Linked DNA regions of Sus scrofa. The protein of the gene in region 3 purifies or fractionates together with the protein of the main gene of each other region. This does not show direct contact. Links are inferred from orthologs where the notes say so. Each region holds a gene or a part of one and is shown on either strand. Other genes may lie near its edges.

The links. The genes of interacting proteins can lie anywhere in the genome.
Region 1: the proteins of MED20 (region 3) and MED9 purify together in Homo sapiens (affinity purification with mass spectrometry; 6 studies listed by BioGRID and IntAct, with this or other methods). This does not show direct contact. The link is inferred for Sus scrofa from reciprocal best matches to the Homo sapiens genes MED20 and MED9.
Region 2: the proteins of MED20 (region 3) and CDK19 purify together in Homo sapiens (affinity purification with mass spectrometry; 5 studies listed by BioGRID and IntAct, counting the BioPlex papers as one, with this or other methods). This does not show direct contact. The link is inferred for Sus scrofa from reciprocal best matches to the Homo sapiens genes MED20 and CDK19.
Region 4: the proteins of MED20 (region 3) and CDK8 purify together in Homo sapiens (affinity purification with mass spectrometry; 8 studies listed by BioGRID and IntAct, counting the BioPlex papers as one, with this or other methods). This does not show direct contact. The link is inferred for Sus scrofa from reciprocal best matches to the Homo sapiens genes MED20 and CDK8.

What each region holds. Positions count from the first base shown.
Region 1 is NC_010454.4:60,931,190-60,935,195, forward strand, and holds the start of MED9 (mediator of RNA polymerase II transcription subunit 9), read right to left. Parts: upstream 2,811-4,006; 5' UTR 2,710-2,810; coding exon 2,489-2,709; intron 1-2,488.
Region 2 is NC_010443.5:76,790,667-76,794,626, reverse strand, and holds the start of CDK19 (cyclin-dependent kinase 19), read left to right. Parts: upstream 1-1,150; 5' UTR 1,151-1,466; coding exon 1,467-1,594; intron 1,595-3,960.
Region 3 is NC_010449.5:37,064,150-37,067,661, forward strand, and holds part of MED20 (mediator of RNA polymerase II transcription subunit 20), read right to left. Parts: intron 2,569-3,512; coding exon 2,315-2,568; intron 323-2,314; coding exon 107-322; 3' UTR 1-106. UniProt on the Homo sapiens protein: Component of the Mediator complex, a coactivator involved in the regulated transcription of nearly all RNA polymerase II-dependent genes.
Region 4 is NC_010453.5:4,053,045-4,057,251, reverse strand, and holds the start of CDK8 (cyclin-dependent kinase 8), read right to left. Parts: upstream 2,811-4,207; 5' UTR 2,711-2,810; coding exon 2,583-2,710; intron 1-2,582.

The sequences.
Region 1 (4,006 bases), on a different chromosome or scaffold from region 3:
AGACGAACGGCGAGAGAAGATACAATTACTTTATGCTCCATTAGTAAAAAGCAGGCCATAAATAAATACTGGGGAACATATATTTTTTTTAAGTGAAAAGGCTGAGCGGACACTGCGTGAGTGATGTACCGCCTTCTCAGGATGAACCAGCTTCTTTCCTGGGGAGCCCCCACGTCTCTGGGGTGTCAGGTCAGACAGCCTGTCAATCTAGAAGCCGGGGCTGGGTCTCGGGTCTGTCTGAGGACTTGCTCTCAAGCGCTCTTCTTAGGTTGGCCTCTCCCTCCAGCTCCCGAAATGGGCAAGTGTCCCCCCTCCAGAGACCCTGTGCATTATTCTTTCCTAAAAACAAACCTTGGGAAAGTGTGAGCCTTTAATTATCCACCGAGACAGAAGGGGGACCACCTGTGGGCCTGGGGTCTCGAGAGGACTCAGGGGATCCGCTCCTAAACAGCCGTCCAAGCAGCCCTCCCATCCTCAGTCCCGTCACCCTCAATCACCTCTCACCGGAGGCCCTTGGCCCTGCCGCCTCCTGAGATCCGGAAGGGGCCGCGGCCAGAGGCAGCTGCTCCCGGCCGCTTCCTCGGGCTGGGAGGTGGACTAGCCCCCGGCCCCCCCCTACGGCAATCATCCCCTCTCGTGTCCTTTTCAGTTTTACGCTTAAAAGACACTCCTCACTGTCCACTCAGAGGGGACAGAGCAGGTCACACACGGGACGGACACAATGTCTTTCACAGAATGTTCTTGAGAACACCCCACAACAACCTTACGATTTCGGTGTTATTGCTCCCGGTTCACGAGAGAAAAAGATTCAGAGAGGCCGTTTGACCGAGGCCGCCCCACCAGCACACTACAAAGCTACCTCGGAAGCCCTCCTCTGAGGTTCATTGCTATTATTCACCTCTTAGCGACACGAAAAATTACGGCCTAGAAAGGCTCTGTATTTACCAAGATTACAAGGCAAGCAAGCATTAAGACTATCTCATCTCGGAGTTCCCACCGTGGCACAGCGGAAACGAATCCGACGAGAAACCCACTGGCCTCGCTCAGTGGGTTAAGGATCTGTGCCGTGAGCTGCGGTGTAGGTTACAGATGCGGCGCAGATCCTGAGTTGCTGTGGCTGTGGTGTAGGCCGGCGGCTGTAACTCCGATTGGACACCTAGCCTGGGAACCTCCATATGCCACGGGTGTGGCCCTAAAAAGAAAAAAAAAAAAGAGAGAGAGACCATCTCACCTCGCAGCCCATGCTCTCTCTAGTGCACCTCAAGGATCCGTCTTTAAGGCCAGCCCAACCCGAGGGTCCTATCAGGATGCCAGAGTGTGTACACTGTGTGTTTTAATTTTCCAAAAACCAGAACAGATAAATCTGGGTTCATCTGGACAACGCCCTTCCAACCCAGCACCGCCCTGGGACTGCAGGGCGTGCAGGTGGGTTGGGTTTCCTATGTCACTGCTGCCTACGAGTGCTACTTGCTGATCACAGGCTCACGAGAAGAGTCGGCCTCACCAGATAAACAGTATGTTCACACCAAACGAAGCCAAGTTCTAATGTGAGAAAAAAAAAGGCTTTGCAGTTGTCTGAAAAGTGGTGGAAGCGTCAGAGCGTCCCAGGCAGTGACTCTCTTCCACCTAAACTCAAAACAAGCTGGGCCACTGACAACACTTCACTGTTGTGAGCGGCAATTTCATTTCAGCAAAACATCCAAGAGGATGCTGAGGTCCACCTGAGTGTTAGAGCAGAAGGAACATTGTTTTAATTTGCTTTGTTTTGGGTTTTAATGGCTAAACAGACGTGATAAGCTGAGGGGTTTACACCTTGTTACCATGGGGACATAAATAACAGTAAAAACCATTTGGGCAAATGTGGGGACCCTGGCGATTTTGGTGGGGTTTTCCCCCCTCTTTAAGGGTCAGTCTGAAAAACCGGGTCCCCTGAAGACCGGCCTAAAGGAGACATCACCCCTGCGGCATCCTGTTGGGAACTGTGAGTGCGACGGGCTGTCTAGCGGCCATTCCCTGCCATGGCCTTATCATCACCCCTAGAATCTCTTCGCGTTATGGGTTATTCCCGTTCACGACTCTGTTCCTTCTAACTGGTGAGCAACGTGGGCGTGAACCGTATGCCCTTTCAAGTGTACATCCCCTGGCGCTTAGCAGTGTGCCACCCGCGAAACATGACCCACATCTGCTGGAAAAGACACCGAAGCGAGCGTTCTGTCCTTCATTACGTGTGAGAAAACAGCCCCGAGAAGCCTGGCTGGCTCCGGCCACAGGGACGCTGCACCTGTGCACGTGGTGTCCAGGTCGGCTTCGTTTCGAGGACTCCGCCCGGCCAGCACGGGGCCTGGCAGCCCTGAGCTCAGCGTCCGCTCAACTCGGGGGGAGGCTCGCGGTGGTCTTCGCGAGGCCGCCTCCCCGGGACCGGCGGCGCCCCGGAGCTCGGCCCGCGACGGACAGCGGGGGCGCACTCGCGGGCACCCCGGGCTCTTACCACTTGATGACGTTGTGAACCAGCGGGAGGAAGGAGCAGTTCTCCTCCGCCTTCACGACGGCCGGGGACGGAGGCCTCGGCGCGGGCTGCGGCTGCGGCGCGGAGACCGGCGTCGGCAGCTGCGGCGTCGGCAGCGGTTTCGTTTCGGGCATCGGCGGCTCGGTTGGCGGCGGCAGGGCATCCTCGGCCTGCCGGCCGGCGGGCACCCCCACTGAAGCCATGGCGCCCCGCGTTTCCGCGGCGGGTCGGCTGGGCCGCGGCTCAGCGCGCCGAACGCGTCGCGGACTCTGCACGTCACCACCGTGCGCCGCGGGGCGGGACCCAGAGGGAGGCTGGGAGCGCGCGCCCGGGGACGCGGGGCGGGGCCTGGGCGTCCGTTACTAGGCAACGGGCGGCCGGCCGGGCTAGGGTGCCCTGCTTTGGGTTGTGCGTTGAGGCAGCTAAATTGTTAATAGAAATAGATATATGTCAGAAATAACATTTTATTCCTATTCGCGTTACAAAGAGGATCCAAAATCAACAAGTGCGGAAGACTTGAGATAAATAAGGCCTCTTGAAGAGCGGAGGCCCCTGCCCAGCACCTGCTGGGGTCAGGCCCTGGGCCAGCGGGCGTGGAGAGAATCCCGGCGGAGGGACCCACGGTTCCCACCCGCGCAGAGGCCTTCAGGGGAGAGGCCCTGCGCCCGCCCTAAGGACGCAGGAACAAAGAAGCTGCGACGAACTAAGTCAATACTTAATATGCATCTTCTCCATGACTGCTGTACTGCCTGCGGGGAGGGGTGGGAGTTGTCCCAACTTCCACACGAGGCTGAAGGGGGTTAGTGCCAGGAATAAACATGTCCTAGGAGAAGTCAGCGGCACGTACTCTCCTCACCTGTGGGCCCCAGCTCCTTAAGCCTCCAGGGCTCAGCGTCCTCACCCCAAAAGCCTTATATAGTTCAGGAGCCTAAACTGCTTCCCACCTTCCCACACGTGGCCGGCCTCCAAGCTCGCGTTTGCAGGGGCACTCACTCCCTGGGATCTCAGGCCAAAGCCAGGGGAACTCTGGTGGGTTTGTGGTTATGCTCCTCAAGACAAGTCCTCCCTGGCTGTGTAATAAATTCCTGGGCGATGAGAACACACGTTCTGAGCTTCGCTGGTGAGTGGAAGCCCTGCCCTTCCTCAGAGCTTTAGAGACACAAGGAGACTGCAGTCAGGTGCCAAGATGAGAAGCAGCATTGAAGAGCAAGGCGGCCGTCCTAAGGAAAACGTCACTGCAAATATTTCTAGATGCATCCAGAGGGGTCTGTGAAGGCAAGTCCTGGGGAGGCTTGGAGTGGGTGCTTTGGGCCTCAACACTGCTTTCTTGTAAGAACTACCCAGAGAACCCCTGAGGGAGCGCATGGAGGGGGAGGTGAGGACTGCTGCCCAGGGGCCTCTCCGCCCAAAGGAAGTGCCAGGGTCCTGGTGGAGAACCGGAAGGAGGACCAGAGGCACTGAAGGGGCTTCCGTGCCTGGAGTCCTCTGGGGAGGTACGGA
Region 2 (3,960 bases), on a different chromosome or scaffold from region 3:
GAACCCCCTCCCCATCCAGTTTTCCAAGTTTCTTCCAAAACCTAGCAGGCAAGTCACTCTTAACTTTCCTTACCACATTAGGTAGAATTGACTATTTCCTCCTCTTGTGCTTTCACTGAATGTGGTATGTTAAGTCCTATCATAGCACCAATGATTTTTAAGATTGTATCCCAAGCATCTGATACGTTTTAGGCACGCAATAATGAACCAACATTCACCTTAAGGAGATTTAAACATTCTAGGAAAACGTCACTGTTAGGCATAAACCTTAAGACACTCTTTACAATCCAATACAAATGATTGTTTTTAAATTGCTGCATCCTGCAGGCACTTTAATAGTCCTCAGACAGTTGGCCAAAAGCTTGGCTACGGGAATCACTTATGTTAGGAGAAGACTACGACTAGAGCGCCAAGGATGATTGGCTGCTAGGACCTTTAAGTTACAGGTTTTCAGGCCGACGCCGACGGTAGAACCAGGAAACCGCTAAAAGTTCAGTTTTTGAAATACGGTTTTTGCACCGCAAAGAAAAAAGATTAACCTATCAGAAAGAACCTAGCACATCCAATTACCAATCAAGAGCCGGAAAGAAGCCAAAGCAGGGATACCCACGCACCAACGAGGACGTCATTCTTAAGTCTCCGCCAATGAGCTGTTGGATGCGGGACGGGGCGGGAGGCGGACCAACTGCCACCAAAAACAAACAACAATCTGCAGTACAACTGCTCTCACCACAGTCCTCGTCTAGCAAACCACTGGAGGAAACTCGTGGGCAAAGCCCTTGTTAAATACTTTCCACTCTCCTCCTCTCCTGGGGGCAGTTATAATAGAGTACCTTCCTTACACCAGAAAAAGGACCTTCTTTCCACCAGCTTCCACAGACTCGCAGAAAGCACACTGCAAGTTTGCACTTTCTACCTTCACAGGAACTAGCAGTCCAAAGCTACCTGAGGGGGGAGGGGCGGCCTCAGTGCGCAAGCGTGCATGTCTTGTAGAGGCGGGGCTGTAGCGGCCCAAGGTAACCTGGGTATTGTATTTCATTCTACCGCATCACTCAACTGTTCCTGAGGTTTATGGAACTACATTTCCCAGGAGTCTCCGCGGCCTCGGGGGCGGGAGGGATGGTTCGTTAATGAGCTCGAGGAAGCCGCGGCGCGGCCCACCAGGTTCCAAAACAAGGAAATGAAGGGGGAGGCGGGACTGAGGGTGCCTGTAGGAGCCGCAGCCGCCGCCGCTGCCGCCGCCGCCGCCGCCGCCGCAGAGGAGGAGGAGGTGGAGGAGGTGGCCGCCGTGGCCGCCGAGGAGTCCCTTGCTGAAGGCGGACTGCCGGGCGGCGGGCGGCGCGCGCGCGCCCCAGAGGCGGTTGTTGGAGAAGTGGAGCGGCGGTCGCGGGGGGGAGGAGGAGGAGGAGGAGGGACTGAGTGGCGGCGGCCCCCGCGTCCCGGTGCCTCTATGGGGAAAGCAGACAATGGATTATGATTTCAAGGCGAAGCTGGCGGCGGAGCGGGAGCGGGTGGAGGATTTGTTTGAGTACGAAGGGTGCAAAGTGGGACGCGGCACCTACGGGCACGTCTACAAGGCGAGGCGAAAAGATGGGTAAGAGCAGGGGCGGGGGGAGTAGGCTCGTTCGGGTCCTCGCCCTGCCCGCGACCGCGCGGGATGGGTGGGTCGGAGCCCGGACGGGCCAAGCCCGGGGGGCGAGGCGGACGTGGTCCCGGGGCCGCGTCCCGAGGCGGACTCTGAGGGACACGGGTTCTGCCCGCTCGCGCGGGCCCCGTCGCGCCCCTCAAACTCCTGCGGCGCAGCCCCGTCGCGGGGTGTCGGTTTCGTCCCGGAGGGCACCCTCCGCGTGCATGGAACTGGCGGCGGGACTCGAGTTGGGACCTCGGTTGGATGTGGAGTTTGTGGGGCTTTGGTCTCCGGGGGAGACGCAGAGGTCTGGGAGAGCCTTGCGGAGGAGTTGCCGCTCTGGCCCTCGGTTGGTGACGGTCGTGGTGGAACTTCCAATCGGCTGAGCGCCTCCCGGGGGCGGAGGTTTGAAACCTCGCCGAGGTCTCCGTCGGGCTGCCGAGTGCCTGGGTCCTCGCCAGCCTCACGGGTCTGAGCCGTTGGGCACCTTTTCCCTGGGGGCGAGCCAGCGCTCTGGCCCCTCCGCGCAGTCCCTTCAGTCCCTGTGGAAAACCCGGCCACTTCTCCACCTCGCTTCGCCCACCTCCGATCTTGCTTTCTCACATTCTCCATTCCGCACCTTCCCTTGAATGTAGACCTTCTGAGAGACCAACCAGGTTTTGCCCGCAGAACTTAAGAGTTCGGTGTGGTAACCCATCCCATCCTCCAGCAGCCTCCCCTTGGGTATTCTTAGGTTCTCCACTCCATCCTCTGCCAAGTGGCTGCGTGCTGCGGTTTATTGGGCACCTAGATTACCCATAACGGAATTCAAGTGGCACGGAGTTGGGCCAGAACCCTTGTTTTCCTTGGACTTGAAAGAAAATCATAGGAAGCCCGTCCTGATTGTTCTCTTAGGAGGGCACAGGGCTCTCCAGTACAGGTGGAACCAGCTCCCTGCCTGAGAAGGGTAGGTTTAAACAAGTCATCACCGCAGGGCCCATCCTGGCAGAAATTCCACTTCCCCAGAGTTAGGGAGCCGGGGAACATCTGCCTGTCCCACTTAGTGTTTGAAGACGATCAAAGTGTGGAAGAGAGGTTTTAGGATCATAGCGAAAAATTGCTGAATGAACAGAGTATCCGTCACCGTGACGTTAGTTAAGATCTGAAGTGCTGCTTATCGTTCTTCCACACTCTGTTGTAATTGATAAGGTTGATTGATGAACTCTAGGACCAAAGTAGGTAGGGGATGTGTACGTGTGTGCACTAATTTTATACAGGGAACGAGAAAGCACAACTTTATAAACTGGTTTATCATAAAGTATGGTGAAAACTGCAAAGTACTTAACATTGTAAAGGGTTGTTATTATTGCATATAATTTTTTCCTCTTGTTATAACTGAACGGGTCCCCTAGAATTCAGTTGTTTGTAAACCTTTCTCATGATTCTTTTAGTTAATTGCCATATGTCCCTGCTTGAGTATCTTGGAATGTGAAGTACTATAATTAAGTTGTATTTTGTTTTTGGAATATCCACTCTCCTTGTTATACTGGTGTCTCTCTGGGAATCTTATCAGATACATTTGGGGAAAGCACATCTAGCTTTACTATTTGGACGTTGACACTGTAAAACAAATCAGAAGTGTTCTTCATCCTCCTCACACTAACTTTGTAATGTACTTGGCCTGGAATTTTAAAAAAATGTACTTTAATTTTGTTGTTAAAATAGCTTTTTTTTAAGGCAGCTTTTGAGAAAAGTTAAAAATTCTACTTATGAATTGTATTTGAATAGCATGAGCTACAACAAAAATCAGATAATTTAAATCCTGCTTCTCTTTGTTCTTTTTGAATATTTTCCCCTCTAATAAAATTCTTGATTTGAATACACTTTTTTTCCTTGAGTGAAATTTGTTTGATTAGAATTAATAAAGCCCTAGTAAAGATCAGTTTGGATATCTTCAAAATATTATGCTTTAAAAAGACTTTTTCAAATCTGAAAGCATTACTTTTTTTTGGCTGTGCTCCTGGCATGTGGAAATTCCTGGGTCAGGGATGGAACCTGTGCCACAGTTTCAACCTGCACCACAGCTGGATCTGGTAACACGGAATCCTTAACCCACTGTGCCACAAGGGACCTTCCTGAAAGCATTACTTTAAATCACTAAATTATGTGTGAGAAAAATCAGTGTAAAGATTTTTGTCTTGAACCAAGAGTTTAGTTGAGATTTGAGGCTTTAAACACCCACATGTCTTGTGGGTGGGTAGCAGGATTAGTTTTATGTTCATTGATACCATTGATTTGAAAGAACAGAAATCTTTTAGTGATGGCTCTAAATTGTGATACACATTTGCATGGTA
Region 3 (3,512 bases):
CCTCCCTGTCTGCCCTGGGCTTCCGGGGTCTCAGGGCCTGAGGGGGCAGCACCTGCTCCTCTGGTGGAGTTCCCCTGGCGACAGAGCTCAGCCAGGCGGCCAGTCACTATCGAATCCCCGCCACCGGCACCTGCTGCTGCTTGCGGATCTTGTTGAAGAGTTCCATGTACTGGACCATGGTGTCTGCTGGGCTGTAGACTGCGTCGTGTCTGTTCCCAAACACTGCAGGAGCCCCTGGGGTGTGGCTGCCCAGAAAACTCTGCAGGAACTCAAGCAGCAGGCTCCAGCAGTCGCTAGCTACCACACAGGGGCCATACTCCACCTGGGGCCGGAAGAAAGACGGAGGGTGAGGAGAGCAGGGACAGGTCATCTGCTTCTCAGGCAGCTCTTGCCTCTGCTCCCACCTTTTCAGACTATGGGCCAAAGACGCACACCTGCACAGCGCTGCCCCGCAGGAAACCGCCAACCCAACCCCCAGGGATTCGACACACCAGCACCATTCCCTTTAGGCTCAGACATTTGCAGCTTGGGGTTACCAACCCACAGCCCTACCCACAAGACCCAAGGGCAGATCTAGGCCCCTTTTAATTATCTCAGAACTATACAGCCCCGGCCAGGATGCATAAAGATTCATGGAGAGCTCAGGAAAATTCTGAGAGAGAAAACCAAATTCAGGGGAAAGAGCACGTATGCATACTGGGGGCAAAGTAGACACATACACTCATAAGCCACTTCAAGACCAAATATTACTCCAGGGTACAGCCAGCCTGGGCTCTGACCCAAAGAAATGGTCTCCCAAGCCACGGGATAGGGGCCAAAGGCTTTCTCCTTCTCTCCTAATTGTTCACTGGAGAGATGGCAGGGGAAATTATGGTCACCGTAAGAAGAAATAAGTAAAGAAACAGCTGGGATGTGTTTGTACTACGAAGTTGGGAACGTGGAAGAGAAAGAGCAGGCTCCCAGCGGGTCCTGACAAATGCAGGGTGAGTTGCAAATGAAAACGGTCAGGAAATCTTGGCCCTAGAGGTCCTGGAGTATCACCCAATGATCACCACTCATGCCCTTTGCTCCACCTGGGACGCTTTTTAGGATTTTCCTATCCCTGTATCTCCACATTTTAAGGCCCCCACTTAGGTGCTCCTTCTGCAAGAGGCGCCCCAATCCCCAAAGTCGTTAGCCCTCTCTTTGGCCAGAATTCCCAGGGCAGCCTGTGTCTCTTTTACAGCACTTCTTATAGATGAACTTCCAAATCAGTTTGAGTGTTTGGACTTTGCTCTTACTAAATTATAAACTTTCATTAAAAAAATTTTTTTTATTTAAAGATTTTTATTGTTTTCCATTATAGTTGGTTTACAGTGTTCTGTCAATTTTCTACTGTACAGCAAGGTGACCCAGTCACACATACGTACATATATCCTTTTTTCTCATATTATCATGCTCCATCATAAGCTACCAGATATAGTTCCCAGGGCTATACAGCAGGATCTCATTGCTTATCCATTCCAAAGACAACAGTTTGTATCTATTAACCCCAGATTCCCAGTCCATCCCACTCCCTCGGCCTACCCCTTGGCAACCACAAGTCTGTTCTCCAAGTCCATGATTTTCTTTTCTGTAGAAAGGTTCATTTGTGCTGTATATTAGATTCCAGATCTAAGTGCTATCAGATAAGTCATAAATTTCCAAAAGGCAGGCTCTGTCGCTTACTTAATTTCCTACCTCACACAGTGCTAGGACCATGGTAGATGGCAAGCTCTCACTGTTCCCAAAGCCAGCTGCTGCCACACTCTCTCTTTGCCATTTTCAATATATGCCGCAAAGATGAAGTCACTACACACACCCCTTTCCACTGAGAAAGGAAGTGGACAGTGTGGCAAAAGGAAAGGCTCATTCTTGCTTTGGAACTCTGGAGACCATCTTAAGGCATGCTGAGGGGAGGTGTGTGGACACATGATTCAGGGCCTGCCTCCCAGAGTGGACTGCACGGAAAGCCGCCCTGGTCTGCTCCAGTCCTTCTGGTGCTGGGTGACTGCTCTTCCATGATTCACCTGCCCCCGACCATCCCTCCCCCTGCAGCAAGCTGGCCTTCCTAAGCTTCCTACCCGCTGAGGACTGAGCTTCCCATTGCCATCCTGGGCTAGAAAGTCCCCGAGTGATTAAAGAACAGGTAGAAGATGCAGGGAGAGCAGGGAGCAGCTCCTGCTCTGCGGGCAGGAACCAGGGAGGCAGGAACCTCAGGCTGTACTCAGGGCCCCTGAAAATTGGCAGAGCCAGTCCTCTCGGCACCCCTGCTCCTAGTTCACCGAGGTCTTACCTCCACAGAGATGCCCCGGGCACTGGGCCCCATCGTGACCGTGCCCACCTTCACGAGGAAATCACAGTACTGGTAACGGGTGCCCCGGGTCTCAATCTTGCTGGCTTTGGCGCTCTGGAAAAAGCCCTTGAGTTTTACCATAAGCACATCAAAGTTGGTGTCGGCGATCAGGCAGGGGCCGTTCTCAAAGAGGGCGAAGCAGCTCAAAGGGTGCTCAGAATTGTGCATCACATACATCAGCTTCCCCGCCTGACCTGCAAGGGATGGAGAGCAGGGCAGTGTCAAGAGCTTCGCCTGCAGACGGGGAAGAGTGTCTGATGCTGGAATGAGGCCAAGGGGCAAGCCAGCATCACCTCAGCAGTCCCGGGGTGGAAGCCCCGCCCCAACAGCCTTTTCCAGAGGAAGTGAGAGAACCAGCAGGTGAGGGGGCAGGTGGAAATCACCCTAACCCTCCTCCCCCCGAGAAAGGTGAAGGGCACACACGGAACTTCAACAGAGTTAATTAACAGCTTCATTTTTTTCTTTTTAAACGAACATTCCCAGGCGAAGGGTCAAATCAGAGCTGCAGCTGCCAGCCTACACCAGAGCCACAGCCATGCAGACTCTGAAGCGTCTGAGACCTACACCACAACTTGCAGCAACACCAAACCCTTAACCCACTGAGCAAGGTCAGGAATCAAACCTGCATCCTCACAGAGACTGTTCGGGTGCTTAACCCCCTTGGCCACATCAGGAACTCCAGATCACAATTTAATTCTTGGTGATGGGCTCACAAATGAATGATTACTGATGACTAATAACTCACAGAGATTTTACATATGGACTTTTGTGTAGTCATATATCACATAATAAGGAAAATAAAAGTAACAGCATTTGAGCATACCAAACAAAGCAGCTACTCTCGTTCCCATCTATCCCTAACTTTCCTTGGCCTCCTCCCTCTTTAAAACACAGGAAGTGGCCCCAAAGCAGCAGCAAAGGGGAGCATCTGAGCATGAGGCCAGAGCCTTGCCTTCCTGCCCAAGTCAGTCTTCATCCCAAAGGCAATGGTGAGCCCTCAGAGAAGAGTAAGCCACCTATGAGCTGACTATGGAAGCCAGCAGCACAACTACAGCAGAAAGAACTCAGGATCTAGAATCAGAAGATCCAGTTTCAAATCCCAGCTTGCCTGTTCTAGTCTCTGAGAAATGACTTCTTG
Region 4 (4,207 bases), on a different chromosome or scaffold from region 3:
CCCCCACATTCCTTAAAACGCCAGGTTTATCAAAAGCAGAGGACAGCAGTAGGGTATTTCGAATTCTTAATATCAAAGGAATGACCTTTCGAGCTGTTTTATTTCTTCCTAAAACCGCAGTTTAAGAAGCCAACTGCTCTGGTCTAAATTCCTTTACTAATTACTCATGCCTGTGATGCTCGCTGGACAAGTGAAGGAATACGTTTACATACATTCATTTTAACAGCCAAACACCTCTAAACAAAATTTACTTCATTTTACTGTAAATCTCAGTCTTTTTGAAGGTGTTACTGTCTGGGTTCCTAGAGCTCTCTGAAATTTCAGTTGCAGAACATATGATTTCATTTGAAAGTAAATCAATACTTGAAACAAATTATTTAATCATCTTTTTATGAAAGATTAAACAGCCACAAATTTTATTTTACCAGGACTAAAATGCATTAAATTACATTTCACTGACATAAGATCAAAAGAACCTCATAAATACAATGCTGCGTTTTACCAGAGTGAGGTTATAAGAAGCCAAACCAAAAAATATTCCCTCTGGAACACAAACACCATTTTAAGTAATTTTAAAACTCTCTTGACATTTGATCCATTAAAAAAAAAAAGAAGTTCTTCCTATAAACAAAATCATTAAAGGCTGCTGGAAAACAAGCCCAAAGAATTATAAACAAAAAGTTAATTTTTCCAAAATGCAATGCTATTTTTTGCCTATCATGAATGACTAAGAAATGTTCATATACTATACATCCAGCTGTTTTAAAATTGTATAATTCTAAAATTATTCTCGGCCTACATTAAAACTTGACCATGAGATATAAAATGTGGTCAAAAGTACCTCTTGCCAGTAAACAGTATTATAGTTTTTTAATATAAAATCAAAGTCAATATAATTTACATGTCTTATTAGCTTAAACTGGTCATTTATGAAAACAGAACTAGCTTTTCTCAGATCAAAAAAATTTAAAGTCACCAGAATTTCATAATACAGATGACAGATGGGTCAAATATACTACAATGTCTAAGCTCACGGGATCACGGATTTTATACGTCCCAAATTACATAATATTGGGGGGGACAGGGAGATGCCTTAAGACTTCTGAAAAATCTTATATGAGAAGTTAATAAGGATAATTTTTAAAACAGGTATGCTACTAGAGAGTAATATTTCAATGAGGAATATAATTAAACTACACAGTCAACACTATCTCCAGACACTGATTTCTCAAATGTCACCAGACTATCCTTCTGCTAAAAAGTACTTTTAAATACACGAGGCACCCCAAGTATCAAGTTTTCCAATCCCTACCTTTGGCAGATACCGGTACTGCTTTCCTGCTGCACTGAAGCCCTGAACTGCACAATCCAAATAAATGAGAACTACTGTCTTCTTCCTGTTAGAGTCCATTCTAAGTTATTTTAGAAAGATATCTCAGGAAATCTAAGGAAAAAGTTGAATAAATATATACTTCCTTTTCCCATATTCAGGATACCAAGTATTTATAAATATGGCCTCCCTCTCATCTCAGGTAACTTCAGCTTTAGGAATGGTGTCATTTTTTTAGCGCTAATGTAGTTCTGAACATACCTTCCTATCTAATTTGGGGGGAAAGCAATTATTTTAAACGTTGAACAGCAGCTAATCAAAACACCAGTGAAGCGCAAATAAAATCACTTTGTTTATAATAAAATCTAAAGATCATGTAATAAGCTTGGACATTATCTTTCCAGCAATTTTCTATAATGTCCAAGGCAATAAAGACAACATTCGTTTTTACAAGAGGAAAACAAGGAGTTTAAAAAATATATTTTCTCAACTAAGAAATGCCTTCTCTTTTGTCAATATTACAAGACATCCATCGACTGACAAAGGAAAAATGAACATTTCACTTGCCTGTTTAGGAAACTAAATTGGGAGCATTACCAGTCATAGACTTAAGTTATTTCTAGGGAAGAATATTTAAAGCAAAGAGAAAGTTCACTGCCAACTGCTCAATTGGGTGGGGGGGAACGGCCTGAACGAGATACCCCTCATCACTCGCCTTTTTCCCCACCACCCACCCGGCACCAAACCCCCATTGTTCTACGTAAAACTCACAGCTCACGGTATCTAAATCGCAACTGCCACATTTCTGGGGCAGGTGATCAGGAGAAGGAACTCTGGAGAACCACACCGACTTGCTGCTTTGCCTTCTCTTCCCCCACCCCAATAAAATCCAAATGAGATCGTAAATCAGTCACAAGCTGGTGGGGGAGAGGATCCCAGCTTCCCATCCAGACGGCTGGATGTCACTCCAGAGGCGGATGAGCAAAGCCCCGGAAGGTTACCATGATAGACCGAGCCCCCTAAAGATCACTTAAACTGACACATCCGAGGAAAATGTAAGGAAACCCCGGGCCGAAAGCCCTGCAAAGTACACGGCCCGGGGAGTAGACGCTGCTCTTCCCGAGCAGCCGCGCCAGGAGAGCCCAGGGCAGCAGCGCGCAGGGTCCCCCGCGGTCCACTTCCTCCCGAGCCCGGCCGGCAGGAGGCTGACCACCTGCCCCGGCGCCGCCGCCGGCGCGACGCGGACACTCACCCATCCTTCCTCTTGGCTTTGTAGACGTGCCCGTAAGTGCCTCGGCCAACTTTGCAGCCCTCGTATTCAAACAGGTCCTCGACCCGCTCCCGCTCGCTGCTCAGCTTCACTTTAAAGTCATAGTCCATTGTCACAGCCTGCGAGGCCGGGGAGCGGGGCCGGGGCGCCGGGGGGCAGGGGTGGGGACCGGCGAAGCTCCGGCAGCCGCGGCCCCCGGGAACCCGCCCGCGCTACGCCCGGCGGCCGCAGCGCCGGCCCGACCGCGGCGGCAGGAGCAGGAGGCGGCCCCGCGAGGGCGCCGGGGACATCCAGGGGGGCGGCGGGCAGGGGCCGGCCGGGGGGGGACGGCGAGGTCCCCGGCGCAGAGAGCGAGCGACGAGGCTGGGGGTGGGGAGCGCTGTCGCTGCCCTTGTCCCCGCGGGCTCCCGGGGCGCCGGCCCCTGGCTCCGGCCGCGCGCTCTGCCCCCGCGGCGGGGAGCGGCGGGGCGGCGCGGCGGGCTCCCCTCTGGCGCTTGCGCTCGCGCCTCGCCGCGCTCACACACGCTCGCACTCACTCACTAGCCCGCTCGCTCTCCCATACACTCAAACAGAAAGGCAGCGCCGCACAACAGCCGGTACCTCCTCAGCGAGCGGAGGGAGGGGACTCGCGGAACACGGCCGCGCTGTCGCAAAACGTCGCGAAGCCTCGGGCGGCTCGGCGCCCCGCGCAGCGCGCCCCGCGCCGGCCGGCCCGCAGCCCCAGCCGGAGACCGCTCCCCGGGGGCCGCGCGGCCCAGGCGCGGTAACCGCTGCCCGGAGCTGCTGCCCCACGCACAACGTGGGCCGTCCCGGCGGTGGCCGGAGCGCCAGACTACAGGGCCCAGAATGCACCGGCCGCCGCCGTGGCCGCCGCTCCTGCGGCTCCACCCCCCCCCCCCACAGTGGCGATGTCGGAGCGTTGCATGATGGGATTAGTAGTCCAAGGGAGGGGAGTCGTTGCAGCCACTTGGGGAGAAAAAAATTTTTTTACAGCGACGGAAAAATCAGACTCTGAGCCAGAGTCTGATTTGGGGGGTGGGGAATTAACCAAGGAAATTCCAGTGTGAGGAAGGCTAGTCTGTATTAGAATCACGCTGTATCCCACTTCCGAACTCTAGAGTTTAAAGGGCATGATCATTATCGAAAAAACTCTTGGGTATTGGTCCACAGCTCACCGGCTGTCACTTAAATGTGTGCTCGTCGTTCCCAGTCTCCTACGGGCTGCACAATGAGCGACGTGCTGACACACATTGCAGACAGCAGTAAAAGTGAGTCAAGAAGGAGTGGCCACGCCGCTCCCAAAGAGTGTCGCTCTGGTGACAGATGACCGTCCAAATGCGTCCCATCCTTTCAGAGGTGACATTATTTTGAGGACAGCCTTCTGCACCACTGCCTACAAGAACAGCGGTTTTTAGCCAGATTACAGCAGTGGGTCTAAATCCATGGAAACCGTTTGTCAATAAGTTTAAGGTAGGAAAGTTGTGGCTGAAGGAGTCCTGAAGGCTTGATAATCATCTCTCATTTTCTCTCTCTGATTTAGACGTCTGTTTTTTCGTTTTATATTTTTATCCATTTTACTGTTCCCAGTTGCTACGGTTTCCACCAGA